4 linked regions of the Notamacropus eugenii genome follow. The protein of the gene in region 2 interacts with the protein of the main gene of each other region in a biochemical or structural test. Links are inferred from orthologs where the notes say so. Each region holds a gene or a part of one and is shown on either strand. Other genes may lie near its edges.

Evidence for each region.
Region 1: the proteins of ERBB3 (region 2) and PTK6 form a complex in vitro, tested with the Homo sapiens proteins (2 studies listed by BioGRID and IntAct, with this or other methods). The link is inferred for Notamacropus eugenii from reciprocal best matches to the Homo sapiens genes ERBB3 and PTK6.
Region 3: the proteins of ERBB3 (region 2) and FER form a complex in vitro, tested with the Homo sapiens proteins (2 studies listed by BioGRID and IntAct, with this or other methods). The link is inferred for Notamacropus eugenii from reciprocal best matches to the Homo sapiens genes ERBB3 and FER.
Region 4: the proteins of ERBB3 (region 2) and HCK form a complex in vitro, tested with the Homo sapiens proteins (2 studies listed by BioGRID and IntAct, with this or other methods). The link is inferred for Notamacropus eugenii from reciprocal best matches to the Homo sapiens genes ERBB3 and HCK.

The regions. Positions count from the first base shown.
Region 1 is NC_092872.1:497,212,948-497,220,816, reverse strand, and holds the start of PTK6 (protein-tyrosine kinase 6), read right to left. Parts: upstream 3,014-7,869; 5' UTR 2,807-3,013; coding exon 2,571-2,806; intron 1-2,570. UniProt on the Homo sapiens protein: Non-receptor tyrosine-protein kinase implicated in the regulation of a variety of signaling pathways that control the differentiation and maintenance of normal epithelia, as well as tumor growth.
Region 2 is NC_092874.1:231,337,037-231,344,156, reverse strand, and holds the start of ERBB3 (receptor tyrosine-protein kinase erbB-3), read right to left. Parts: upstream 3,018-7,120; 5' UTR 2,666-3,017; coding exon 2,584-2,665; intron 1-2,583. UniProt on the Homo sapiens protein: Tyrosine-protein kinase that plays an essential role as cell surface receptor for neuregulins.
Region 3 is NC_092874.1:352,619,488-352,626,689, forward strand, and holds the start of FER (tyrosine-protein kinase Fer), read right to left. Parts: upstream 3,014-7,202; 5' UTR 2,899-3,013; intron 1-2,898. UniProt on the Homo sapiens protein: Tyrosine-protein kinase that acts downstream of cell surface receptors for growth factors and plays a role in the regulation of the actin cytoskeleton, microtubule assembly, lamellipodia formation, cell adhesion, cell migration and chemotaxis.
Region 4 is NC_092872.1:431,189,201-431,196,693, forward strand, and holds the start of HCK (tyrosine-protein kinase HCK), read right to left. Parts: upstream 3,009-7,493; 5' UTR 2,453-3,008; intron 1-2,452. Other genes in the region: CCM2L (cerebral cavernous malformations 2 protein-like), read right to left, coding at 3,511-3,824, 4,950-5,088, 5,762-5,891. UniProt on the Homo sapiens protein: Non-receptor tyrosine-protein kinase found in hematopoietic cells that transmits signals from cell surface receptors and plays an important role in the regulation of innate immune responses, including neutrophil, monocyte, macrophage and mast cell functions, phagocytosis, cell survival and proliferation, cell adhesion and migration.

The sequences.
Region 1 (7,869 bases), on a different chromosome or scaffold from region 2:
CAACCCTAGTGACTTACAGTGTAGCAGGGGCAGCAGGAATGACTGTCTAGAGAGGTTGTAACATAAATTCAATTTAATTTAACCAGTGTTTAAGTGTTTACTGTTCACCACTAGTCACCTAGTTCTGCCCCTGGCCTGAGTTGGCCCCAGGAACATGGAGTGATTTCTACCCACCCCCTTCTATATAAGCTGAAACAGCAAGGCTTCGTTAAGGCAGAATGAGGAAGGAAGGAAAACTGGAGGCATATTAAATAATTACCCAAGAACCATATAACTCCTGGTATAGATTGAACTCCAAGGGGAAGTAATTGAAGAACTATAGGAACAAATTATCAAAAATTGCGTATGTGGGGAGAAGATCTTTAGCACAGAATCAGTGAGAGGAACGGTAAGGAGAAGTAACATGTCATAAAAGTTCCCATGATACATGGGGTTTGGGACCTGGAGGTAGGGAAATGAGAACACCAACATGTATCCTCTCTGGTTATGGGAGTGTTGCTTTCTTAGCTCCTAGCCCCTTAGATAGATCACCAGTGGTCAAGTCTCAGGAATAACCCCAAAGTATGATTTTGGACCATGATCTAGGGAACGTATATTGCCTTGGTTTCACAGTGTCAGCACATTCATCCCACCAGCCTTTTAATTGCTTGTCCTACCTCCTTGGACTCTGGATGGTACTACCTGTACAGCTGTTCAGCTCTTATCTCCAGGCCAGTTTCATGGAAACTTCTGACTTCCTACTGATAACATCTATTCCCTGATAGTGGAAGGTATTCGACAGAATCTCTTCGAGCTTCGTTCTCAAACTGTCAAAGTGAGTTTCTTTCACAAATGTTCAGCTGGCTCAAATGTTAGCGAAAACAAATGATGCCAAGAGGGTTGTAAAGGACTCATAACTCAGATCATTGGTGTTCTTTGGGTATACTCACCAGTGGAGGCTGCAGTAGAGGAGAATGGGAAAGAGGGGAGGAAACTTATTTTGTTCCAAGGTCTTATCTCCAAACCATGATTGCGAACCATGAAATTACACAAACCAAACTCAGGTGGCCAGCTTCTCATTCGCTAATTAATTTGGGTATACTTGAGGGCAGCAGCGTGGCTGGGCTAGCATCCTTCATCAGTTTGTTACTGCCAGTGGTGCACTGGCCTGTCAGAAGTTCTGAAGAAGCCATGTAGGAGGGGAAAATCTGGAAGTGGACACCCACCAGCACAGCTGTCTGTGTTTGGCAACACAGCTTTCTCCACCCTGCTCCTCCGCCCTACAGAGCTGGAAGGTGTTGCAACACTCTTTCTCTCTCCCCACTAACTAGGTTGAGATTCCAGTTTGTGGTTGTTTTGAAAGTGAGTCCCGGCAATGTCCTTTTTTCTCTGAATTTTGAGAAGCCGATATAGGATTTCTCTCTACCTCAAGCTGCTTGTATTCACCCACTCAGAAAGTAATACCCACTGATCCTATCTTATCCTTCCCCAGGAAGCCTGGCTAAATGACAATCAAGTGGGGCTAGTGACCCACCTATTCTTCTCTGAACAAGGAATTCCCAAAGCTAATACCTCCATTTTTTTCCAGCCCCAAATACAAAACTATAAGCAACTGACAAAGCCCTAAAAGAATCAGACCTTCCCCTACTTTGCACTGTGAAATTTAGAACTTTAACAACGAGTCTTGTCTTGGGTTCAGAGAAGTTAAGTGATTTGTCCAGGGTTACAGTTAGTAAATATCAGAGGTAGGATTTGAACCCAGCTCTTCCTAGTTCCAGATCCAGCATCTAGTATACCACATTGCCTCTTGTGAAAAAGATATTCAAGCTTTTTTTTTTTAAAACCTTCATTCCAAATTATGCCCAAGAGGCTTGGGCTGCAGACAACTTAGTAATGATACTATAGTGATAACTTCAATGAATTTGTTTGGTCATTACCAATGTTTATGATGTCTGCTGAGGTATGGAGGAGCCATAATCTATACTAGTGAAGGGAGCACGCAGACTAGTGAAATCACAGTTCTTTGAGGTACTGACGGTAATGCCAAGTGTGGTGCAGCAATATGCAAAGTAATTCCTTGGGGTGGCAAAAAGTAACCAAGAACAGCAAACTACCACTGGGATGCCTGAACTCTTTTCCACTTGGGGTAACCCACCACTCTCAAAAACTCCTCCTCCCTACATGCCAAGAAAGGTCCCATAGGTCACTACAACAACTACTTTCAGGTTTTTTCTGGCTTTTCCTTTAAGTTGTTCCAGGATTTTTAGTGGGATCCAATCCTCTTCTCTGGGATTGGTAGCTGTAGGAACTGAGCACTAACTCTAGAATTAAGTCTGCGTTCAAATCCTTCCTCTGATGTTTGCTGCCTGTGTGACCTTGGACCTCCCTGAAATTCAGTTTCCTCATCTAGAAAATGGCCTTTCAAGCACTGCATCTATGATCTTATGATCCTAAGCCGCATTGCCAGTGCTAAAGGAGTAACTAAGAGCCCCGTGGGAAGTTACTTCCCAGAATGGCATCCACAAGCAACAAATGTAACGTTCCAAGGGATGACGAGCCCAGACTCCTTCCCTTGGTTGCCTCTTACTTACGGTTCTGTCTCCATTGTCTCTTGTTCAGCTAAGTAATTGTGAGGGACATAGCCTTCTCCTAGGCTCCTTCCAGCTGCATCAAGCTTTGTGGCTCTCCACCAATCTTCCTTCTTCTCTATTACATGAAAAAGGTCCCCAGCCTTAAAGCTCAATTCATCCTCTGTCCGTGCCTCAAAGTCCCAGAGGCTAACATACAGGTATTTGGGACCCAAATGTGAAAGATTTCTTAAATCCATGTTGAGAGGAGCTTCAGGATTCTGGAATCTTTCTTTCTCTCAGGAAGATGTCACTCAGAACACATTTCTCATCTCCTGGGAACTTTAAATATTTTGACAACAGAGAGCTGGCCCAGCTGATCTCTGGACCTCACCCTGACAGAACAACTCAACTTGGAGTGATTGCCACCAACCTGCGGGGCTCTTCCCACAAAAGCTGCACCCCTTTATTCTGACTTCAGTGGCAACCTGCCCTGTGAGCCACTCCCCTGCTGATGTATGACGACAGCGGAACCCCAATTAGATTATTGCCTTGTCATTAAGGTCCCTGGAGAACATATCAGCTCTGAACCAGGATTCAACAGCCCCCCACACTCACTCACACCACTCCCTGACCTCACTACCTTATGCATAAGTCGACCTGAAAGGGACATCTCCATCTCCAGATTATTGTTTTTCTTCTCTTTTTGGTCTAAAGTCACTTCTAAATGATTAGGGGGCAAGACCAGGGATGGAGAAGGAAGACAAGGAAGCAAGGGATTGAGAAAATGAACAGGCAAATGAGGGACCAATCAATAAGGCAATAGGGAAAGGGGTAAATGAGAGGTTAAGGTAGAGAGAGGAACAAAAGGAATTGGATGTCTGGGTATGTCACTTCAGAGGACAGCAACCTCAAAGCAACGAACTTATTGCATTCCTCCTTAAGCTGCTCCTCTCCAGGCACCATGGAGGGTGGCACTGGGAGGGCAGTCATTTTCAGTGATTCATATTAAGTCATCTCTGAAGCTTCAGCAAAACCTGACCAGGAGAAGGTAGATGATGAATCAAAAGACAGTAGAGTCAGCACTCACGATCTGATCAACCTACCTTCTCTCACTCCCACAGCTGCCATCCAAATCTTGCTCTCTTTCTCGGGAAAAAGATACATATCTACTCTTCCTGCTAATGTTCAGTCCAGTCACCTTCCCTCCTTCCATACAACCTTTTGGTTATTAATAACAGATTTCAGGCTTTCACTTCACTACAAAAAATCAGAAAAACAAAATGGATTTTTCCAGCTCTGAAACACTATCATGAAATATTTCTTTGACTTTAGGAAGGTCATTTCTCCTCTTCTGGTCTTTGTTTCCACATTTAAAGTAAGGGGGCTAGACTTCATGATCTCAGTGGTCCCTTCCTGAGGGGTTGAGAGAAGGCAACCTGGGGTTAAGTGACTGACTCAGGATCACATAGCTAGTAAATATCCAAGGTTACATTTAAACTCAAGTCCTCCTGACTCCAGGGCAGGTGCTATCCACTGTGCCACCTAGCTGCCTCAGGCCCTTTCCATTGCCAGGTCCTATGATTCTTCACAATTTGAGAACCTTATTAACACGTATAGCTTGTGAGAATTTAAGAAGAGAAGTGATTATTCTTTCCCCACTTCAATTCTCTCATTCATAAAACTGCCAAAGTGACTTTTCCTAAAATATGGATCTGACTATGTCATTCATCTACTCAATAAACTCCAATGATTCCCTATTACCTTTCAGATCAAATATAAACTCCCCAGTCTGGTATTTGAAGCACTTCACAACCTGGTCCCAATCTTTCTTTTTAGCCCCATAATATGTTACTCCCATTCATATACTTTACAATGCAGTCAAACTGGATTTCTTACTATTCCTCATACTCAGCATTCCATCTCTCATCTCTGTGCCTTGGCAATGGCTGTCCCCCATGACTGGAATGTACTTCTGCCTCATACCTGTCTCTTACAATCCCAAGTTGCCTCTAAGACTCAGCTCAAGCACCACTTTTTATATTAAAGCTTTCCTGATTCCCCCCTCAGAAAAGTCCTCGTGTTTCTTGTGTATATATTTTGCAGATGTCTATATTTGCACATGTTATATCCCCATTTATAGAATGTAAGTTCTTGGAGGACTGCGACTTTCATTTTCATATCCTCAGAGACTAACACAATGACTGACACAATGGCTCACAGCAGGCACTTAATAAATGCTCATCGGTTGATTGAGTCATTGACTAAGTAAGGGTCAGTATGAATACATCAAGATTGTTTTATTTCAGGCTAACCTCCTTTGCTTTTTTAACTAAATTACTAAATTTCCAATAGGCCAAGGGAATGGAACCTACATCACAAAGTCTTTCAAGTCTATCACTGTGGATGACATTGAAAGTTGGGGGCAACATGGTTGAATAAGTAGAAGCCCAACATGTAGATGAAATTAACATACATACACTGCCCCACCCCTCACCCCCATGAAAAGGGTCTCTCAGCTGATACAGTTAACTATACCTTTAGGGGGCATCCCCCATACTAAAGCACTTACCCCATCTCTGGGCAGAAGAGGAGGAAAAGCAAATAGTTGGGCATAGATGCCCAGGAGCCCTACCTCCTAATATTTTGGCACAGGTTGCTCTTGATTCATCTAGTACTTAAAACGTAAAATAATTCTCATGCAATATTTTATAAATACTTAACTTATTTATCACAAATTGGCTACTTTTCCCTTACTCAGAGATCTGGGAAAATCTCCAAATATAACTTTTGTCCAATTTCCCATTAAAATTCTTACCTCCTCACCAATTTCCTTTGACCCAGAAGGAAAATGCATAGAATCCCAGAATTTGAGAGATGGAAGGGGACTCAACAGACATTAAGTTCAAACCATACATAAAAAGAATCCCCATTATGTGCTATAAAGTGCTATTCAGCCTCTGCTCGAAGACGTGCAAGGAGTGGGAACACCATTTCTTCAGAGAGCCTCTTCCACTTTGGGATAACTGCAATTGCTAGGAAGCTTTTCCTGATCTCAAGCCTAAATCTGCCTCCTTACATCCTTCAGTCGTTGTTCTGGGACCAAAGAGAACAAGTCTAATCCCTGTTTCACATGACAGCCCTTCAAATGCTTGACAATGGCTAACGTTCCCCCTGAGTCTTCTCTTCTATAAATTAAGTATCAGCATTCCTCTAATTCATGAACTCAGAAAGAGAAATACACAACCTGTGCTTCAGTTGCTTTTAAAATCATGGAAGGGAAAGATAAAGTTTCCTTCAGTAAGTGTGTCACATACTCTAAACTCAGGCACTTACTGGTTTTACAACCTTAGGAAAATCACTTAACCTCTGTCTGCCTCAATTTCCTCAATTGTAAAATGTGAATCATAATAGAACCTACCTCCCAGGGTAGTTTTGAAGACTTAGCAAGATAATATTTGTAAAGTTTGTTTGCCTCTTTCCCTCCCTCTTTCCTTCCTTCCTTCTTTCCTTCCTTCCTTCCTAGCTTAACTCCTATGAGAAAATAAACATCTTCTCTGGCTTGAAATCTCACGTCCAATCCTTTGTTCCCTATATCTGTTTATAGCTCTTGAATATCGATATTCTCAAGAAACTAGTTCCCAGGAACTAGCTCCTAGACATTGGTTATGATCATTTTTTTAGAGCAGAACCTTCCAGATAAGGAAAAGAGCAAACCTGGGAATATACAAGGCACATTTGGGAGATAAGTAGACAAGTTTGGCCTGAGTGAGAGTTAACACAGAAGTATCATCAATAAAACATTTCAAAATACGTAAAAGAAAACAAAAAGAAGTTCAGAAGGGAATGCAAACTGTGATTTTGTAACTACCTTGTTAAATTTTAATTTTTGTATTACTGAAACTTAAATATACAATAAGAAAAGAGAAAGAAACAAATTACATATTGAAACAAATACAAAATAAGAAAAAAAACATGTCATGTGCACAGCAGAATGTAAGAGAGGATTCAAAATATATAGCAATAAATTTCCATTTCAAGAAAGTCTGTAGAATACATACTATGCATTATATTTAGAACTGTCCGTCTTTTATTTTCTTCCTTGTTTGTTTTCTTATGTTCTCTGCTGTGTACTTTTTACTTTGTTCTTTTTTCCTCTAATACCATATGTATATATATTTTTAAAAAACAAACTACATGTAACAAAAGTCTTCAATTTCATACGCAATCTCATTTTCTTGTTTTTCCCTTATGAAAATGCTTTATTTGATTTTGATTATTAAGTTTATAATTTTAAAAAAGAGAGAGAACTCAAAACAAGACAAAGAGCAAAAGAGCAGCCCTGGGAATGTACAAGACACATTTGGAGGACAAGTAGACAAAAAAATGAAACAGTCCCTGTCTTCAGAGAGTTTATATTCAACTGGAAGGAAATTATTATTAGAAATAAAATTATTATTCCCCCAAAGTGGCTAAAATTCACTGGAAAGGGGAAATAATGGTTCCCAAGACAGAGTTTTCTGTCTTCTTTTATGATATAAGTTCATTATTGGGATCTTTTCCTTCTTCTAGACTACAAACTCCATGAGAACAGCAACCATGTCTTGACTAAATTGTGCATGTCCTCCACATCCAGCACAGTGCTTTATACATAACAGACAGGTAAAAAATGCTTATTGAATTACATTATTTTTATTGTTCAAATAAACCCTGCCTGGGTTTATGTCTGGATTGGACATACTTCTTCCATTAATTTGGTGTTGGTTCATCTCCCATAGAGACGCTAGGTGGCATTCAAAGACTGCATTCCAAACTTCAGTTCATAACACAAGAGAAGAAGGAAAATTCTGGCAAGGATCTCAATGTGGGGGGATGGTGACAAATCCAACTAGACTGAAGGGGTGGGGAACCTGCTACTTCGAGGCCACATGTGGCCCTCTAGGTCCTCAAGTGTAGATTTGTTCTGTAAAACTTGGACTCAGTCAAAAGGCTCACTTGAGGACCTAAAGCGCCACATGGGGCCTTGAGGAAGCAGGTTTCCCACCCCTGGACTAAAATTATGGTTCAAATAAGATTGTAGACACACAAAAAAATGTTGGAAAGGATGGAAGGAGCCAATGTGAGGACGACTTGAAAATGGAGTTTAGACATTCAACTCCCCAAAAGGTGAGGGCTAATCCTCTGAGACACACTAATCCAGTCTCAACTTCCTCAACTTATTTGGACTGTCTCCATTTCCATAGCCACAAGAGTGGTTTGTCCAGGACCACATAGAAGAGGTAAGAGACAAGATTTGAACCCAGGTCTTCCTAGGCCAAGACTC
Region 2 (7,120 bases):
AATACAATTTTGATGTAGGAAATGATGAACAATTCAAGGTATCTCTGCCCCCTTGATCTCTGGTCCCCTCCCTTTTCCAGTGGGTTAAAGTCTATGTTGGGAGTTGGGGGCAGGAGCAGAGAGAGCACCTGTTTGCAACTTCTCTTTCTTGGGGGCACTGCCAGCTCATCAGGAAGCAGGCATGAAGGCATGTGGGGAATGGAAGCCAAGGAACCCCCTCTTGCTAGTTCCATACCAGTCCTGATCCCTTGAAAGATTCCCCACACTACTCTCCTGTTCAGGATTCCTTTACTGAGAAGGGGGAGGGGAGAAAGGATGGAGCTCAGCATGAACCCAGGAATCAACATTGTCATTTTGGAAGGGACAAGAAGGAAGGCTGAGAATGGCATTGCTTCTGTCTGAGAGATGACTCATACACCAGCAAGTTAGAACCAAGTGCCTCTACCCCTCTTGCTAACAAGGACACCCCTTCACCAGAGCCTTCCTCCATGCCTATGAATCAGACTTGTATTTCTGTGTGCAGAGATGTTCTTGAGAATATGTCTTTGAGAATAGTACAAGTTAGTGTCTAGAGAGCTAGCCTCAGAGTAAGGCAGAGGTTCAAATCCAGCCTGTGACAGACTGGTTGGGTGACTCTGGACAAGTCACCTTAACAACTCTTTAAGATTGTAAATGGCATAAGAGTTTTTGAGCTGCATCAGTAGAGAATTTCCTCACTCCCATAGGAAAGACACAGATTTTTTTAAAAAAATAAGTGAGAATATATGATGTCTTTGCCCCTGCTCTACCTCTTTTCTCAAAGCCTCCCCCCACCAGCCATAACCACTCCAGGAATGCTTTTGTACCCTGGTACATTGCCTTGGGCTACTATGTCAAACGACATCCCCCAAAATCTTTTACAGTCCCCACAAGACAATCACATTAACATATATGTTTATGGATTCTTGTGTGCTTGGGGAGATGGGACAGAGAATTAGAAGTCATTGTCTCCTACCCACAGAAATAAAATCCACCTCACATAAAAAAAGGGAGAGGAAAGGGCAGTAGATGAGGGTGGGAAAGAGCAGGAATGAAGGACCAGGAGCCTGAAGTCAGTAGTGCAGTCATTTCTAGGGAGAAAGTAGGTACTTGTGGTGGGTTGGAATCATCCAAGTCCCCAAATTATCCAGGAACATGGGGAGAAGTTATCAATCAAAGGCCCTCTTAGGAAGACAGTATTGTGGAAAAGGAAGAGACTGTTCTCTCCTACTACTCCCCCTGGGGATCCTCAATGTGAACCTCAACTCCAACATTCCTCTACCCCTGACCAGCGTTAGGACAAAGGGAGCATAGAGAGACCCAGACGAGGCCGGATGCCCAGAGGCTGAAAATCCAGATAAAGAAAGGCCTGGCCAGAACTAACCCCCCCCTTCTTCTCTCCTCCCCCAGGAATAGATCCAGGGGCCAGAACTCCTGGTTTCCTTGCTGGTAACTTCTCAGATTCCCAGTCTGAGGGAGAGGTAGCTACTGTCATCCTTTTTCTGCAACCACTACCCCTTCCTTATACCAGACTCCTCCTCAATTCTTCCAGCTGGGAGTGTTCACAATTCAAGGTCCCAGAGACTAAATTTAGACCCAGCAACTGTGGAGAAACACAGGTGTTTTTCCCACTCCCTTCACCCCTACTGTGAGTGGGGCACAAAATTCACCAAGCCCCAAATTGAGAGAGATGGCAGTAGAAATGTCTAATTCTTTGATCCCCTTAAATCCCACCAGCATTCTGTGATCAAAGATACCCAAGAAAAGGGGTTGGGGGGGAGGAACAATCCTTTCAGAACTGTCTCCTTAAGTTCTGTCTATAAGAGGAGACAGACTGTCTAAGCCTCCTTTTCCTTCACGTCTCCAGCGCAAGCAAGAAGTTTTACAGTGGTCGGATTTGCTAAAGTCTAGATTTCGTGAGTAGCTTGGGGTGAAGCAGACAGGAGTGGTTTTCTGAAGTTCTTTATCACTATCACCTGGACTTGGCCCTCTGGCTAATCTCTGCCCAGCCCGCCCCCACCTCCACCCGCACCAGCACTCACACAAACAAGCAAGAAAGGGGAGGGGCCCGGACCTATTTTTCTAACACAAGGGAACAACTGCCCCCTCCACCCCCCCCAAATCCTATTCTAGCTCCTCCCAGAGCCGGCAAAACACCGAAACTGGCGGTGCCTGAAACCGGGGGAACCAGGGAGACGGGACTGGGAAAAGAAGTTAGGCTCCAATTCTGATTCACTTCTCGAGAAAATATAACACAATACATCATCTCTACAAATTGGGACCCCCAGAATGCCTGGGTTCCACCAGATTGGGGAACTGAGAAAGCAATCGCTTCCCCAGGAGGATCCTCAGAAGGCGGGCGGGAGTGGAGGGTTGGGGGGACGTCCAGCCAGTTCAAGCTTCGAGCGCTTTAGAGCGGGGCCACCCCGAGGGTACTGAAGAGGGGCTGCAGGCACTGACCCCTCTGTTTCCGAGGCTCGCAAGCCCCCGGGTTCCTCAGGCTCCTCCCTGCACTTGGAGCTCCCGGCAGCACCCAACCTCCCCTGTCCCGCAGCCCCCGCTTACCTGCTTGCGAGCTGCCCACCTCCGAGCCCCTGGTCAGGTGGAGGAGCCAGCCCAATACCTGCAGCTCCAGGAAGCCCTTCATAGCTGCTGCGTGCCGGGGGTAGGGAGCCCGGGCCGGGGCTCCGAGGCTAAGACATCGGGATTGAGAAAGGCACCTGAGCCCGGAAGGGAGCAGGCGGAGGCGCAGTCCGTCCAGGTAGCAAACGCGAAGTGGTGCTGGATCTAGAGCTGGAGCAGGGACCGGGGAGGGAGGGCAGGGGGTGGGGGGCGGAGGGAGAGAGGGAAGGGGGGGTGCGTACGTGTGTGGGGAGTGGGGTGAGTCACGGCCGCTCCCGGACCCGCCAGCGCTGGCAGCGCCTCCGACTTTCGCAGGGTTGAAGTTCGATCTCGCCCGATTCCACCCGGCTCGTGCTGAGCTACCCTGCACCGCCCGCCCCGCCTTACGCGGGCCCCGAGTTCATTGGCCAGACGGTGGGAACCCCCTTGCTCCGCCCAATCAGAGAGACGGAGAGGCTCACCCTCACTTTCCCCGAGGAGAGGGGGAGCAGAAAATTCCTAAGACTTGCCCCCACGCACACCCCCGTGGATAAAGAAGGGATTCTCAACCAGGCTGGTCCCGCCCATTATGTAAATCCCACCCTCCTACTTCCCTGGCCGGTTGGTCCACTTTGGTGTTTTTATCCCTCTTGAGATGGGGGGGGAAGGGAGCAGCTTCTGCCTCCTGCTCCTCCCCCGCCTCCCTTGGGAATGAGACCCCACGACTGAGCCTTCTGGTCCGCAGGATCCCTAGCCTCTCCGAGGCTCCGTGAAATTGCACTGTCTCCGGATGCTTCCCCCCTCCGAACCCGGCGCCTGCCCAGTCTCCCAGGAGAATTTGAGGAGGGGAGGGGGTACCAGTCTGGGAACAGACCCTAAGCCCCGCCTCTCCATTCCCACTCTGAGAAAGGGAAGGGAAAGCAGGGGAGGGGCAGACCCACCCGGGCCAGGGTGGGGCCAAGACTCAATGCACCTGTTGCTGCCTGCCCCTCCCCTACCCCCCTCTTCTGCCCCCCATGGCCGATCTAAAGGACAGCTGCCTCTCCGCCATCCCTTTATGAATTCTCCCAAGTGTCCCAGAGCTTTAGTGCCTTCTTTTTGGTGGGGGGAGGGGATAAGGGGGCCCCAGACAAGTTAGACTGGTTGGTCTCTATCACTACTGCCATCACCCTAGTACAGGACTTTGTTCCTACTCACCTGAACCATTTGAACAGCACTTCCTGAGTCCACTTCTCCTCTGGCCACTTTTCCTTGTAAACAAAGTCGCTTCTTTTGTTTACTAATCTTTAGTGTCGACCTGTTGCCTACCAACTGAAGTCCAAACCTCAGCCAGTCAACAAACATTTTAAAGTCTGTACTATGTGTTAGGCTATGTGCTAGAAGCTAGGGAGAGAGATACAGTCTCTGCCCTCCAGATGAGTGAATACAACTATGAAATGATGCCAGTGATTGGAGAAATTAGGAAAGGACTCTTGGAGAAAATAATAATAATCCTATAATAATAGCAACATTTATATAGTGCTCACTATGTGCCAGGCACTGTACTTTAAAGTTACTATCTCATTTAATTCTCACAACAACCCTATGAGGAAGGTACTATGATTATCTCCATTTTACAGATGAGGAAACAAGTAAACAGAGGTTAATTGATTTGCTCAGGGTCACACAAGTGGTAAGCGTCTTGAGGTCAGATCTGAACTCAAGTCTTCCTGACTCCAAGCCTAGGGCTCTATCCCCTGTGCCACTTAAATGTTCACTTTAGTTTTGAAGGGTCTCGAAAGGAAAGAGGTGAGGCAGGACATTCCAGATATAAAGGACAGCCCCATGCAAAGGCATGGAAGTGGGTGGTAGAATACTGTATGTAGGGAAAAACTAAGAATAACTAAAAACATATATATATATATATATATATATATATAACATGTTATATTAGGTCACAATGTAATATAAATAATATGTATTATATAACATAGCAAATGATATAAGACACAAAACATAAAAAGCATAAAAAGTAATACCATTAGATGGATGGATGGAATAAGTATTGAGTGCCTACTACGTTCAGAAGCAAGTAACAGCTGTATGGCTCAAGTCCAGGAGCAAGTGGAGCCTCAGTTCCAGCTTTTAAAAGTCTGAATCCTGCAAAGGAATAATCAGAGCAACTCTGAACCAGCAGACGTTCTTAGCTGGTTTCCCAGCTCCAAATCCAGGTAAGAAATTTACACAGCTCAAATTAGGGAACAGTGATCAGACTTTGTCCTGAAACAGATCACTTTGGGAACAGTAAACTTTTGTAGATCAGAAGCCTAAGCTGTTCCTGACATCCTGGAATAACACAGAATTTAACACCCCAAGAAAGCAACAACACCCCGGACATTTCCTCCAGAAGAGAGCAGAGCCTAGCCCTAATATCAACTCCAAAGTCAGGAAGTAATATGGGAGAATGAGCAAAAAAAAAAAAAAAAAAAAAAGGATAACATTGTAAAATGCTATCATAGTGACAAAGAACCCTAAAGACACAAATCCAGAAGAGAATGACTCCAAAACATCTGCAAAGAAAGTCTGAACAACAACACAAATTCAACTAGATATTTATTGTAGCTTATTTTGTGGTGGCAAAAAGTTTGAAGCTGTGGGCATGCCCATCAATTGAGGGAATGGCTGAACATGTGATGGAATACTATTGTGCTGTAAGAAATAATGAAGGGGTTGTCTTCAGAAAAATCTGTGAAGATTTACATGAACTGATGCAAAGCGAAGTGAGCACAACCAAAAGAACAATCTAACAGAAACAGCAATATTTTAAAGATAATTGAGTGTACAACTTAATAATTATGGTTAATACAAATGATCTAACACAGTTTCAGAGGAGTCATGATGTAAAATGCTTTCCACCTCTAGATAAAGGATTTGGTCTTAGAGTGCAAGTTGAAGCATGCTTTTTTCCTTTCTTTATTTTCCTTGCCTTTTTGGGGGTGGGTGGGAAGGGAACATGGTGAATGTAAACATGTTTTAGATGACTTCATATATAATTCATAATGTAACTTCATATACAATGGGTATCATATTTCTTGCTTTTTCACTGGATTGGGGAGGGGTGGAGGCAGGGAGAGAACTTGGAGCAGAAAATTGAATTTTAAAAATAAATTGAAAATTCTTGTATTAAATGAAAAAGAGTTAATAGAAGTAGAGTCAAGATGGCAAAGTGAGAAATAGCATTTTTTTTTGCCTTAGTTTCTCTACCATCTCCTCCACAATGACCTAGAAAGCATGCCAGATTAAATTCTGAATGAGAAAGCCAAGAAAATTTCACAATGAATAATTTTTTCTCAGTCCATGGCAGCTTTGGAAGATAAAGAGGTCTGCGGACACTGGGGTGGAGGGTGGTCTGGAGCTTAATAGAGCAACAGGTAAAAGTAATTGTGGTTCATGGCAGTAGCAGTGGCAGAAAGCAGCCCAGTGCCGTAGGATGGTAAGGGGACTGAATACCTGGGCAGAAAGAGATCCTAGGGCACCCTTGATCTAGCTTTGGGAGCAGGAATGGTTGCCATTTAGCATCTATGTTGCCCATTATTTATTTTGGGGTAACATTTCTAGGGAGGAGAGGAGTCTTCATGGTCAGAAGGGAGCAAGCGTCTTACCTGTAAGGTAGCAAAGTTTAAGGAGCAAGGAACAAGTTTCAGAAAAATAGCTGTATGTCTCTGAGCCCAACAGCAGAGTTGGGGGACTCAGTTCTAGCCTTTAGTTCTGCACATAAGCCTGCAGTGGAATAAACCAAGGCAGAGGGCCAAAACCAAAGGGGAGCCAGTGGTTCAGTCATTCTGAACCTGCAGAACCTCCTAGGGAGCTATGACTGGGTCTGGCAGCAGTCTGTGGAAACTCAACCACATGCAAGCCAAGAGATCCCAACCAGGTCAGAAATTTGCAGAGCATAGACCAGACTTCTTCTTGGATCACATCACTGAAAATTTATAGAGCCCCCAGACTGAGCTGTGAAAGCAGTAGAAAGACATAAAAGATAGTTCACACTTGACATCTCCTGCCACCCCAGAGGTAAGCAGAGCCCAATACTAACATAAAGTCCAAAGTCAAGAAGTAGACTGGAAAAATGAGCAAATAAAAAAATAATAACTTGATTGCAAAAAAAAAAAATGACTGGTGATAGGTGAACTCAAAACATAAACATAGAAGAAGAAAATGACTTGAAAACATTGACAAACAAAGTCTTGAAGAAAAATGCATATTGTATACAAGCCCATCAAGAATTCCTAGAAGAGTTTAAAAAAGTGATTTTTTTTTTTAAAAAGCAAAAACAAACTTTTTAAAAAATAAAATGGGAGTAATGGAGAAAAAAATTGAGAATAAAAATCAGAACAATGCAAGAAAATTATGAAAAGAGAATTAACAGCTTGGTAAAAGAGCTGCAAAACCTCACTGAAGAAAATAACTCCTTAAAGATTAGAACTGGCCAAATGGAAGCTAAAGACTCCACAAGACATCA
Region 3 (7,202 bases), about 120 Mb from region 2:
AATCCTCCTAGTGATCACTCAGAGAAATCTGGCCTAACCATCCATACTAGACAGAGCAAATGGATGAATGCATGTCTATTGCCCAGATTTCATTATGCATTTAGATGACACCCTATAGAGTTGGTCTAACAGTAAGTATGTCTGAAACTCCAGGCACAAACTTGAACAAGAGAAAAAGAACAGGCTGGACTGCTTTTTGGAAACTGCAAAACTCTTTTACTGACACTAAGCTTTTCATGAAAGTAAAGGACCATCTTTTTAATACTACCATTTTACCAGTGTGGTTATAAGACCAGAAACAGCACTGGCTCTGAAAAATTAAAATGAATTTCACACAGAAGTCAATGAATATCATGAGTAGTTTGAGCATGCTGCAACATAAAACACAGAATTCCAAAACAAGAATAAATATGTCATCAAGAAATTGTAGAATAGGAAGACAGGTTGGTCACATGACAAAGGCAAGTTCAAAAGTGAGCTCCACTTATTCCCTGTGGCAAGTCTGACAGGCTATCAGCTTCAGTCTCATAATAGCTAGTGTTTATATAACACTTGAAGGTTTGCAAAGCATACTCAAATCAAAGAGATCACAAGTCCACTTAAGAATTTATCTCACAGTAACTAAATTCCAATAAATCTGGCTATTTCTCAAGAGTCCTAGATTGTAAATTGCAGTTCCTGGCAAACTCAAGGCTCTTCACCAATTGGGCCTTTAAAAAAATAAATCTTGAATGGTATCTCTATTATGCATTGACAAAACAATATCTAGAACTGCAATTTTATAGAGTGCTACTAAATGTATCAAGCCTCACAATAAGCATTATAGTGCCTCAGTAAAATCCACAGTAACGTGAGTGTTCTAGCTACATACACAAAGACAAACTGAACGGAAATTACAAGTTATCTAGTTTATAATGATCTAGATGGTTAGGTCATCAAATTAGTCCAAAAAGGGACTTTTCTTGAGTAGTTTATGTAAATGGGACATAAGATGGTCTTAGAATGGAGGGAAAGGCAGGGCTGAATCACATGTGGAAAACTGCATGTTTTCAAGTATCCTAAACTGTTCACTGATGCATGTCTGTCTCCTTCAAAATGATACAACATGAATGAGAAGAATCACAAAATATTCTTGAGTCAAAACAAGTAGCCAAAGGGTAATGGAAAAGATTAATAGTCTTAAGTGGGCTGTAATGTTATTACAGCTATAATCAACAACACTGGAAGTGGCACAGAAGACATCTCGAAGGAAATGTATGACCAGAAAAAGAGGTGGGCTAATCGTGTAGTAAGAATGAAGAATAACAAAATCCCAAGTACTGAAAATAGAGGATGGCTTTCAGCATATGGGTTTTATGGGAAAATATGGCTAAGAATCACAGGGCATAAGAAGATCAGGAAAAAACCTGCACTGATACAAGTATCTGCAGCAAAGTAATTAGACAACCAAAACTACTCATTCCAAGAATCCAAAAAGCCTTCATCACAATGCTTACCTCCTTATTAAAGAATAATGACTCATTCCAAATAACACAGCTGTCCAAAATAGCAATCTGTGGCAAAGTTAATTGGAATTTAACTTTCCCAACCATGTCTCCTTCCCGGTGAGACCAATGTTTCTATCTGGTGTAACAATAATAATGATCTGCCATTTCCACAGCTCTTGAAGTTTGCAGAAGCATCAGTTACCAAGTGTCTCAAGTGGATTTAGAGGAGGTCTCTACCCACTATAACACGTGCTGGGTCCAGATACTGTAGCGTCTTGCAGTGAAACTGATTTATATTTCAGCAACTTGCCTCTGGCCACGCCCACCACCTCAAGAGACTGGCCCAAGGCAGGTTACATCTATAAAATCCTGGTTTTTTGGAGGGGGAGGAGAGGGATAGGGAGAAAACTTTAAAGAACTAAATTCAATTGTAGAATATTAGTCGTCGCTCAAAATGTGTGTCAACTCTGCAATTTGTTGCTTCCTCTGAACTTACAAGATTGCCACTTTTTCACAATACAGAATGGAAAATGAAAACAAAAATATCTGTCAATATAAACAAATCACTACACACAGTGAGATCAACTATTCGTATCCCCCCCAAAAAATGAATTAAAATGCTTTACCCATGGAGTCCTACAGGTTTTAAGTAATGTCTCCCACCCCTACTAACACCTCTCAAACCCGAGGTCACTTCGTTCCCAAGGCAGACTGACTAAACGAAGGAGAAAAAACCTATTTGTCAGGAATTAAGCTAAGAATATCCAAAATAAGACCTCGTCCTTTTCATACCCTAGGGAAACTAAGGAAATGGGGGGAGTTCAACTACCACAACCCTCCAGGCCTCGGGGGGCCTCCTCCCACTGCCCCCACCCCACGCTGTGCCTCCTCCCACTGCCCCCACCCCGCGCTGTGCCCCCTCCATTAGCGCAGGCGAGGGGAGGGAGAGGCACCCACGCGGAGGAACTGGGAGAGGGTGGGGACCACACAGTCCTCCTCTGGAGACACCAGGCGACCCCCCGACCCAGCAGCCGGGGCAGGGCGGGGCGGGGGCGGAGCCATCTCCAGCCACCTCCCCTCCTCCCTTATCTCCCATCCCTAGGGGCCCCAGAGGGCCAGGCCCGTGCCTCCGACCTCGGGCGTCCAAGCTTGCGCCCCACCCTGCACCCAAGAAGCCCCCCAGCGAGCCGGGGGGAGGGTGGGCAACAGCCCCGGGGCTGGGAGGTGTGCGGGGCGGGAGGGGGGTGGAGAGGAGGAGGAAGAGGAGGAGCCCCCGCCAAGGCCGCCGCCTGGGCTGCCGAGCCCCGGGCGCCCCCCAGAGGGCGCGGGGTGTTGCCCCGGACGCGGGTTCGCCCTTCCCGCTCCCCCAGCGTTGCCCGGGGCGACGCCGGGCGCGCGGAAATGCACCTACCTAGAACCTGACAAGCAGGAGCCCCTCAGCCCCGGAGCCGTCAGTCACCACTTCGCGTCACGGGGGCCTCGCCAGCCAATGGGAGCCGCCGCCCCGACCCGCTTCGGCCAATCCCGTCGCGCTCCGGTCTCCGGGCTCCCTCGAGCCCGCGGCCAATGGGGGCCGGAGAAGGCGGGAAGCCCCGCCCCTCTCCCAGCCCCGGCCTCCGCCTCCGCTTCCCTGGAGGCGGGTGCGGCCGATTGGCCGAGGCCCGGGAGGGGCGGGCTATGGGCCTTGGTGGGCTCCGGAGAGAGCGGCCGGAGGACGTGGGTGGGGCGCCCCTGGGGAGGGCGAGGGAGCGTCCGCGGGAGGCGGGCCGGGCCGGGCCTGTGAAGGGCGGCTGAGGGCCTGCGAGCTCCCTGCCTCCAGCTCCGTCCTTCCCGGGCCCCCTTGGGAGCCGTGATGTGGAAGGGAGCCTCCCTTAAGGAGGAGCTTGAGGCCTGCGGAGGGGCAGTGACTTGGCCAGGGTCACTCGGTCAGAAGGGCCGAGCCCGGGCCTGACGTCTCCAGGATGGGGGTCCGGCCTGGCCGGGGAGGCTTGGGCGGAATGAAGAGCCGTCCGGCAAGTGGACGGAGGGCCCCCACGCCCACCCACGGTCACACGGGGCGGTCCCAGGATCCACCTTGGGAAGCAATTTAAAACTTTACGGAGAAGTTACTTCCGGGAAGTCTGCTTCCGGAGCACTTGAGGACGTCGTGGGGTCTGGGGTCCTTCCCACGGCCCCTCCACCCTCCCGGAGCTGGGGGAGAAGGAGCGGAACGAGGCCGCGGCTCAGCACGTGGGTGCAGGCCCGGCGTGCGAAGCCTCTTCTCCAGCCTCCCCGGAGAAAGGACCCCGAGCCGGGCACTTTGGACCCGAGGCCGCTGGGGAGGCTCCGACCGGGGCGCATTTAAACGGCCGAGAAACCTGAGCGAACGGGATCTCGGAGTCCACAGTCCTGGGAAGGAAGAAGGGATCCCCTCCTTGGTCATTGGCCTTAGCTCTCTGGACGAGTCTGACTGCCTGGCATCGCCGCCCCTGGCTCTGCCTGCTGCTGCCCCTTGGCACCCTCTCCTCTGAGCTCCGCACAGGCCATGTTTCCCACCCCCTCTTCCTTCTTCCCTCCACGCACTCAGTGCCTCACTCAGTCTGGCTTCTCTCCGTCTCCATCTTCAGCATTCGGACACCATCGGCCTTCCCCTGCGCAGTTGAAATAAGTCACACAATCATTCTGAATGAGTCCACTACACTTTTATACCGTCTCAACTAACCCCTCACTGCTGCTGGGCAGCCTGCCGCATCAACTTATTTCCCCCACTCTTGAAACCAGCTTTTCCAAACCTTTTTATCCCTCCTCAAATTCCTATGGCTCCCACTACCCCCTCTCCCCACCCTCAGCTAAGAACCTTGCCTCATATTTTACAGGAAAAAAATACGGCCCTTTGTTGGGAGCTCCTTCTTCTCCCTGCTCCTGATGTCCCTCAGGTGCCTTCCACCATTGTCTTCTCTTTCCCCTCGGTAGCCCTGGACAAGGTCAATCTTTCTCTCTACACAAGCAATCCCGCTGTCATCCCACTCTCACTTATGTTTAATCTTTGTATGTTGGCTTCTTCTGTACTGCCCATAAACGTATTCATGTCTCTCTCATCCTCAAAAAAATCTTCACTTGCTCCTTCCATCCTGCTGTCCCCTATCTCGCCTCCCTTTTGTGGTTAAACTCCTTGAGAAGGTCATTTGCCAAGTCCCTCTTTTTACTTTCTTAATTCTCTATAGTCTGTTTTCTGACCGTACCACTCCACCAACACTTTTCTTTCCAAAGTAGCCAATGACCTCCTAATTGCAAAATCCAATGGCCATTACTCAAGTCATGTTCTTGACCTCTCTGTAGATTTGACACGGTCAATCACCCTTTTCTCCTTGATCTTTCGTTCTCTCTAGATTTTTGTGACACCACTGTCTCTTGGTTCACCTTCATTTTTTTAACTTGTCTCTGCCCTTCGACTGTGAGCTCCTTGAGGTCTGGAGCTGTCTTTTACCTCTTTTTGTATCCAGAGCACTTAGCATGCTATCTGGCTTACCAAATGTTTAATGAGTGATTGACTGAATGACTTGCAGTTGGCCCAAGTTGTATTTGTAATGGACTGAAAAAGGGTATAAATAATTCTACTTGGTATAGATTGGCGGGGGAGGAGAGTGGCAAATTTGAACATTCTGTATGCTATACTTTATGTTAATAAAACCTTTGATTTGGGGAGTATAATGGCAAGTAAAGTTAGGATCTTTTGCTGTTTTTGTTTTAGTGTAATCAAATGCCTCATTGAGTCTTGCCTTTATGATCAAGAGTCTTTACTAGGAATAAAGTACAGAAACAAGTTTCTTTAACCATGTGTATATGTGTTGCATACCTGTGAAACATGGACAGTCTACCAGCACCATGCCAGGAAACTGAATTACTTCCATTTGAACTGTCTTGGAAGATTCTGAAGATCACCTGGCAGGAAAAGCCACTGAAAGACACTGAAGTCCTTGCTTGAGCTGAATTGTCAAGCATTCAAACTATGCTTCGAAAAGCGCACCTCCCATGGGCTGACCACATTGCTCAAATGCAAAATGAATGCTTGCCAAAAAGACTGTTTTATAGAGAACTCACATGGGGCAGGCAATCACATGGTGGTCAGAAAAAGCGATACAAGGATACTCTCAAGGTTTCTCTCAAGAACTTTGGAGTTGACTATACAACTTGGGAGACAGTGGCACAGGATCACTCAGCATGGTGTGCCCACATCAGAAAGGGTGCTGTCCTCTAGGAGCGAAGCAGAATTGAGACAGCACAAAGTAGATGTAGGATGCGCAAATTTGGGGTCACTACCCCAAATATTCCCCAGACTGTCTGTGCCCAACCTGTGGTAGAGCATTCCGAGCTCATATTGCTCTGCTCAGCCACAATTGGACACACTGAAATTTCACTTTTATCATTGTGATGTAATTTTGGTCCAGAAGGACAACAACCAAAGATCTTCCCCATCCATAAATGAGCCTACCTATTAAGGGGAGTTTGATTAGGGAAGATTTATAGGAACACCCACCGCTTTTGTTAATGAGGCACTGGCTCTCAAGGGTGGGTATGCCCTCTGGCTCTAAAAAAAAAGGTATAAATACTCTGAGGTTGAGGTTTTACTTTGGGGCTTAGTTTTTGGTAAAAAGGTTTAAGTGCCAGATGAGGACTCTGGGAAGCTGCTAAGGAACCCCCCTGCACCCCAGCTTTGAGAACACAGATGTGGTACTTCCCTCTCTGGTAACAATGGTCAGACAGCTGTAGCTGTCTGTTGAATTATGGTCACAGAGGAAGCCATGTCTGTTGATTATTTTGGGGCTTACTGACTGGAAATGTTTGTTTAGTCAGATGAGGACTCTGGGAAGTGGCTAAGGAGCCCCCCAGCTTTGAGAAACCAGATATCATGCTTCCTTCTCTGATAACTATGGTCAGACAGTTGTCTATTGAATTCAAGCAGAGGAAGCCATATCTGTTGATCTTTTGATTTCTCTCTATTTTCTTTGAAATTCAGGGTTCTGACTCCCCTGAACTAACTGAATGATATATGTACTTGGTTAAAGGCATGATACATGTGCCTGATTAAAGTGATTGTTAACCCCTTGAAAGTTGCTTTCTTTTTGTGAATATAGATCTAAAAATCTGTGAAAGCAGGCCCTCCTGGTATCACATATATATGCAGTGTGTATGTTGGGGTGCTTACTGATAGGGGAGGTGGGGAACTGTTTCTGGAAAATCTTTACTCTGTGTGTTTGTGTCAATAATAACTTATGTTTACACATGCATTAAAGTGCTTTAAAGTTTTCAAAGCCCTTATGTTTTGTCATTAGTACCTAAAACAACTCAGGAATTGTCTCTATTTACAGATGAGGAAAGAGTCTCAAAGAAGTTAAGATCATTCTGTAAGTATCAAAAGCAGTATTTGAACCAGGTCATTCTAGCTGCAGGTTGGGCACTTAGTACCTTAGGCTGCTATTTGTAGAAATGAAAATACTTCTTGATATAGTAAAGCTAACATAAAACAGGAATAAATTACAGCTGAGAACAGAGAGATTTTTTCAACAAGCGAAGCATTGTGGTACAGTGGAAAAATTGGACTGAGCTTCAGGAGATCTTGGTTCTAGTGCCAGTACTGTCACTAATTAGTTATATCCCCTTGGGCAAATCACTTTACCTCTCTGTCTCTCTTTAACTTCAAAATAACAGTAGAATAAAAGATTTGTTGTTTAGTCA
Region 4 (7,493 bases), on a different chromosome or scaffold from region 2:
CCCTATAAGCAGCTCCCAGCTGTGTCTTCGTAGGACCCCCTCACTATGCCCTGAACACACTAGGTCCCATAGAATGTAGGGACCCTAAGGGCAAAAAACATTTGGTTTTTGCTTTGTATCTCCAGGGCCTAGCATAGTTCTTGATTTAGAACCATTGTTTAATCAATGCTCACTAATTAATTGATTACTACTTCTATGCCTTCATTTGTTCTGGCTCCCCCTTGTACATCTCTATTGTTTTCCCCACTGTTCTTTCTCTGTCAAAATCCTACCCCTCACAAGTTCCACCTATTGTAGGAAGCCTTTCCTAACTGTGCCATAGTGACCCCCTCCCTTTCCTAAGGTCCAGAGCATTTGCTATCTTTTGCCAACTTGGACCCTCCATTACATTAAGTCTAACATTTAATTCTGCCTTGTCCTAATTCTGTTTTTGATATGTGAATCTTCCTAACTGGACTATGAGCTCCTTGTGATCAAAGACCTTGTTTGCTTCTTCTCTTGCTCCCCTCCTTCAAGGAACTGAACACTGGACCAAGTACACAATAACTAGTCAGTAAAGACTTAGAAAGTTCCTGGATGGGGGTTATACCCATGGTACCTCCTAGGGAGGTGGATTGCTTGAGCATGATAATTCTGAACTTCAGTAGGGGTTGAGTTTAGGAATTCAAAGCTACATTAGGGCTAAAAAACCAAGCCAGTTTCTATAACAGGTTTGGTATTAATGTGGTAAAGGGGAAGGGTTACTGGAGGGGGGGTTTTACTAGGCTGCCTAAGAAGGGCAAACTAGTCCAGGTTAAAACTACAGCCGGTCAAAGCTCTCTTGCCAATTGGGCCCATGAGTGTAGACTGTACTTCCAATCTGGGTGAGATAGAAAGACCCAGACTTCTCCTTCCACCCCCACAAGAAGACAGAAAGCTAAAGAATGTCAGAGCTAGGGGGACCTTAGAATATAAAATATCAGGGTTGAACATAATCTTAGAACATAGAACATAGCATATCAGAGCTGGAAAGAACCCTAAAGCATGGACTGTCAAAGTTCAAAGGGATTCTGGAGATCATTTATCCCAACCCCTGCATTTTATATATGGGGAAACTGAGAACTAGAAAAAGAAAATAATTTCCCAAAAGTGAGGCAGTGAAATAATGGGAAAGCTAGGAATAGAACCTCCAGTCCAGAGTTCTTTCCATTAATCTCTCTGGGCCTCAGTTTCCTCCTCTGTAAAATGATGGGGTTGATTAGATCATCCTGAACATCCTTCCCAGTCCATATTCCATTATTGTCATTGAATTTCACTTTGGGATCCTAAATGGAAATCATATGTAAACATTCATTCAAGAGATGATGAGTGAATAGGCCTTTTAGTTTTTTTAAACATAATTAGTTTTCAGTTTTCAACAATCACTTCCATCAGTTTTAAATTTTCTCCCCCTCTCTTCCCCTCTCCCTCCCTGAGACAGAATGCAATTTTATATGAATTCTACACATTCTTAAACACATTTTCACATTATTTATGTTGTATAGAAGAATGAAAACGAATGGGAAAAATCATGAGAAAAACCAAACCAAATGAAAACATAACACAAGAGAAAAGAGCTTCATTCTGAGTTCTAGTTCCATACTTCTTTCTCTGGAAGTGGATAGCATTTTGCCTCAAGAGTCCTTTGGGGATGTTTTAGGTCCTTGCATTGCTGTGAAGGGCTAAGTCTACCAGAAACAGTCCTCGCTCACTGCGGCTGTTACTGTGTACAGGATTCTCCTGGTTCTGCTCATTTAACTCAGCATCAGTTCATATAAATCTTTCCAGGCTTTTCTGAAGTCATTCTGTTTGCCACACTAGTATTCCATTGCATTCATATACCACAACTTCTTTAGCCATTCCCCATTTGATGGGCATCCCCTCGATTTGCAGTTCTTGGCCACCACAAAAAGAGCTGCTATAAATATTTTTGTACATGTGGGACTTTTATGATCTCTTGGGGACACAGCCCTTTTAAAAAGTGGTATTTCTGGGTCAAAGGGTTTTAGTTTTTATTAAGATCAGGTTATTCTCTATCTTCTATGGATTTTCTCCTTTAGGGCCTTCTTTGGCCCCAAGGAGACCCCGAGCACCAAGAATATAAGCTCTGGTAGTTTCTGGAAATTTGGAAGGTCTCTGGGACCCTAAGATGCCTCTGTTGTTCAATCTTGCTAAACTCAGAGAATTTTCATTATCTGAAGACCAGCCACCAGAGGATGGTTCTTTGGACCACAGCAACTCCTGAACCCAGATTCAAAGGTTTAAAAGAATCGGAGTCTGTATCAAGGGAAAGAATACCTACATTGACGAAATAATGGATCCTTTCAAGTCCTATAGGTTTTCCATAGTTCATCTTCCTACTGGGAGGGATAGAGGGTTGTCCTGGACCCTAGTCAGTCTAACCAGATCCAGTGTTCCCCCTAGTAGTCCCTACCTTGTTCTTATCCAGTCTGCCAAGATGGTACCATCCGTCTTTTACAGCTGCACCAAAGCTAATGCAAACTCGGAACTAAGAGGGTTTGCTTAAGGAGCCCCACCTCCCACTCCACCCCCTGCCCTCCACCAAAGGGACAGTATGGGCCTGGATTGCTGAGAACCCACGTGAAGTAGTTCCTCTAAAAAAATCATGAGTGACCAAAAACCAAACCCACAACCCCCCTGATGGCAGAACTTAGTACTGCAGAGGCACCATAGCCCTCAACTGGGAAAGAGCTGGGGAGCTGACTAGTTTGCCATAGCCAGGGCAGGGGCCAGCCACAATGTTCTTGCTCCCTTGTCAGGGCTGGAATCAGGAGTCCCCTGAGTTATTTGCCTCCTCCACCTCTGAAATTAGTCCCTATCTCTTCTATTGAGGTCCCCATTCCCTCACTACCCTCCCAACCCCTACTTCAGGCTCTGGGAACATTTTTAAATGCTTTCAGTTGAGCATCTGCCTTCATTGAGTATATAGATCACAATATTTAGAGATCAATAGCACCTTAGAGACCATCTGTCACAGAGATGCAACCATTTTGTGTTTGTTGGACCCCTTGGCAGTCCACTGAAACTCATGGACCCCTTTTCTGAATAGTGCTTTTAAACACAGAAAACAAAATGCATAGGATTACCAAGGAAACTAAAGGTTAATAAAAATAAATATATAATTTCTTTTCCCATCCAAGTTCATGGATCCCTCTGAAATTTATTCATGGACCCTCTCCATGAACCCCTGGTAAGAACCCTTCATCTAGTCCAAATCCCCCATTTCACAAATGAAAAAAATGAGTCCCAGAGGGTTTAGGTTACTTGCCCAAGGTTACTATGTAGTAAATTCAAATCAAGCCCCTCTGACTTAAAATCTAATGGTCTTTGCATTATACCACATCAAACCTGACCTAGTGAAAATCTCCCAGGTCTCTTTACCCACATCTCAGACACAAACACTTTTGTCGTAGCTATACCATCTATGCCCTCTATACAACCCCCAATACATGTTGTTGGGGCGTAGGGCTCTCACAGGTAGTTGTCCTCTCCTTCCTCAGCTCTACCTGGGCCCTCCTCCTCATCCCCACTGTCCTCTTCCTCTCCCTCCTGTGCCAAGGCCTCGATGTCATGGGTGATGCCAGTGAGAATTCGATTGAAGGCCTCGGCCTCTGGGTGGGGAGCTCGACTGTCATAACTGCGCACAGCAGAGGCCGACGTGGAGCTCATACTTCGCTTGATCCGGCCAAAGCTGTCAGTGAGTATGCCGCCCTCTCGGATTCCCACACCCTCCAGGAAGCCTTCAAAGTAGCCGATGTCCTGGTCCGGAATAAAGGGCCGCATCCCTGTAGGGGCCAAGAGGCAGGTGGCTGCTCTGTCATCCCCACTGTCTCCTGCCCTATATTTCCCAGCCAAAGGGAAGCCCCAGTCTGAGCCTCTGAATTAGCAGGACTGGTATCCTCAGCCCCATGTAGTTCTGTAATAGAGGGAGTGGCTGGGAATTATAGGGTCATAGATTGAGAGCGGGAAGGGACCTCAGGCATTTAGTCTACTCTTTCATTTTATAAATAAGGAAACCGTCACCCAAAGAGTATCACTAGTAAATGGTAGGGGTCAGTAGTAAATAGCAGAGTCCAAATTTGAACCCAGGTTCTCGGACTCCAATCCAATGCTTTTCTCATCTCTCAGAAGATATATCAGACACTGAGTCGAAATGGACTTAACGGGATACACTGCCAAGCCTTCTCATGTACTGTTTCCTGGGCATTGCCTAGCAAGGTCCCACAGGTAAACATGCTTTTAGCATGTTTATGAAGTCATTAGAGGAAGCTCTAAAAGGACAGGTACCACATCCTCAGTCTTATCTCTCTCAGTGCTCTGCATAGGGTTCTTAATCAATAGGATTGTTGAATGAAACATAGGAATGCTTTTCTTATGGTGGTGATGCTAGTGGTCATTAGGATGGTTGTGAAGGGTGGATGGTGGTAATGGTGTTAATATCTAGAGAGTTCAATAAATTTTTGATGAATTGGGTGGTGAGGGAAAGGTACTGGGGATAGATATTGGGGTGATGGTGGTGATGATACTGGTATAATGGGGGTGGAAATAGTAGGTGGTGATAGTGATGACCATTATCACAGGGATTGTGATGATGGGGGGAGATAATGGGGGCAGAGGTAGTCATAGTGATAATTGGGCAAGACCCTATAGAGCATTTATGGATCACCAAATCCAACCCTTTCATTTTAAAGAGGACAAAACTAAGATCCAGAATGAAGTGACTTGTCTAATATTATACAGGTAGTATATGGCAGATCTAGCATGTGAACCCAGTTCCTTGTGGTCCAAATCCAGCATTCTTTCCACTGTGCCACATGATGGTGACTGTTAATGGGGAAGGGGACAATAATGATAGAGGCAGGGTCCAGGGCTGATTCTTGAAATGGGAGGACAGGTTACAGCATGCTCACCCAAGAGAAGAAACTTCCTCTTGTCCCCATAGAGCCGAAGAAGATGTCCACAGTACTCTTGCACAGATAGCCCCAGCCTGTATTCCCTCAGCAGCAGGGCAAATTGCTGGATCTCAGGTGGTGACAGCTTGTTTCGCAACTGTGGGGAGGAGCCAGAAGGTGGGACTAGGCAAAAGAGAGGATAGACCTATGGCGGGGCCCATGTTCCACAGAATTTGGCAAAGTATGGCTAGTATGACTGCTGGGGGTGAGACTGTAGGCAATTCAGGGGGCAAAGTGGAAAGGGAGATGGCTTGCAATCTCAGTGCTCTATTACTCAGAAGTGTTTTGGGGAACACAGTCCCATATATCCCCTCTCTGTTTGCTTCCTAGAGAATCAGGGAGAGGATGGAGACCTAGGACAGAACTCAAGTACAGGGACACATATCTCTGCCCTCTGTGCTATCAGAGGACTACACTGAGAGATCTGAGCATGGGAATAGAGGTGGCAGGTGAGCAGGGGTCCCACGAGATAGGGGAGTATGTAGACTCCCAGGGAAGGAAAGGGGGAGGTGGGAGCTCCCATGGGCACATGAGGGAAAGAGGCAGAGGTTTCATTGGGCACCACTGGATGTGAGTATGTGGAAGGAGAAAGATAGGTGAAGTAGACAGGGACATGAATGGATGTGGGAGGATAGGGGTGGGGATAAGGAATGCTGTGAGTGAGGCTTCCACAGAGTGCAAAAAGATATAGAGGCTCAGGAAAGAGGGCAGGAGAGCTGGGGTAATCTCCAGAGCTTGGAAAAGTGGCACTGACCTTGCCTAAGCCTTACCGTCACCATGTAGTCCTGCAGCTGTTCCAAACCCAGACTGCTGCCATCACTTTCACTGCAGTGAGATCCCTGGAAGGAGGGTGTGGATGTCCCACTATAATAGGCTTCGAAGGTGTCATGGGAGCCATTACTGGAAGGCATGGATAGAGATAGATGCCCTGAGTCACTGCACTGAGCCTGCTTGACCACCCCCTCTTAATCCTCCCCTCAGCCGAGGTCTCTTCAGGCCAGTGTGTAGTTTCCTAGGGTCTGCCACCTTAGTCAGTCTGTCAATAAGCATTTGATAAGCACCTGCTATGTCCCAGGTACTGTGCTGGGGATACAAAGAGAGGCAAAAGATAGCCCATGCTCTCAAGGAACTCACAGTCTACTGAGGGAGACAACATTCAAGTAACTATATGTGAACATGTTATGTACATGATAGACTGAAAATAATCAGCAAAGAGAAGGCACTAGAATTCTGGAGGACTGTCCTGGAACAGAAGTATCAGATATCCAACATAGACTGTGAGCTCTACCGGGTCAGGAATAAATAGCATGCGCCTTAACTCAACTTTGCTTCCTCACCTAGGGCCCTTCACACTGTAGGTATTTAATAAATATGGAATGTTTCATAAATGAAATCCCAATTACCTGAGGAAGATGTTTAGCTTTGTGGCTCCATCCCGGGCTTTCAGACTGAGCCACACCTCCCCTTCTCTTCCTTGTCCCCCCTTACCTAAGCACATGCTATCACACACACACACACACACACACACACACACACACACACACACACACACAAAAGCACAAACGAGGATGGTTGTGAAGGGTTGATGAAAGGTACATACTGGAGCCCAGAGCCAGGGCTAAATTTTCAGTGTAGGTAATTTATACCTAAGAAATGTGCAAATGCTACAAATCAAGGCTTGGTTTACTGTTTTATCAATTGTCTAAACTTAAGAAAGTGTTAAAAATGCAGATTAAACTTAGAAGTGTGTGCATATAATTTTTTTTCCCCTGAGAACCCATTTGTTAAACATTGACCAGCACAGCCCTGACTGAGGGTAACAGTGACTTTGTTGATGACAGGTGATTCAATAAATCTCTGATAAACATAATTGAATGGTGCTAGGGTTGGGGCAGGGGGAGGATTTAGTCATTGGAGTGATCATAGGATCAGAGAATGAGACCTGGGAAGAATCTTGGACTACAACATATGCTGCTGGCTGTTCCCTAGGGGAAATCTCATCTTTAACCTAGGATCAGGGTATCAGTTTTAGACACGCAGAGAAATCATAAGCATGTCACATCTACCAAGGGCACTTAATATAATTTCTCAATTATATACAGGGTTAAAAAAATCCACTTATTGAAGAAAGCTCAAATGTAGCAGAAAGGACCCTATTCTTGAGGGCAAAAGAACTGTGTGTCCCAACACTTTTCCTTAAAATGATGTGACGCTTGTTGATTGGTGTGGCTAATTTGTGAGATGACCCCGTGTTACCTTGTACTTGCTTTGTGGTATAGTGAAAAGTGATGGAAATATTTGGACCCAAATGCCAGCTCTTCTGTTACAAGATGATTGATAAAGTTTCTCTCAGCTCTTTTATTTATTGCAGTTATTAGAGTCTCTCCTAGCTCTTCTATTTACTGCAACTGATAAGGTCCCTTTAAGCTCTCAGGCCTGTGATCCTGTGACATGTGTAGCTTTGAGTAAGTTTCTTCCTCTCCCTAGGCCTCAGTTTCCTTA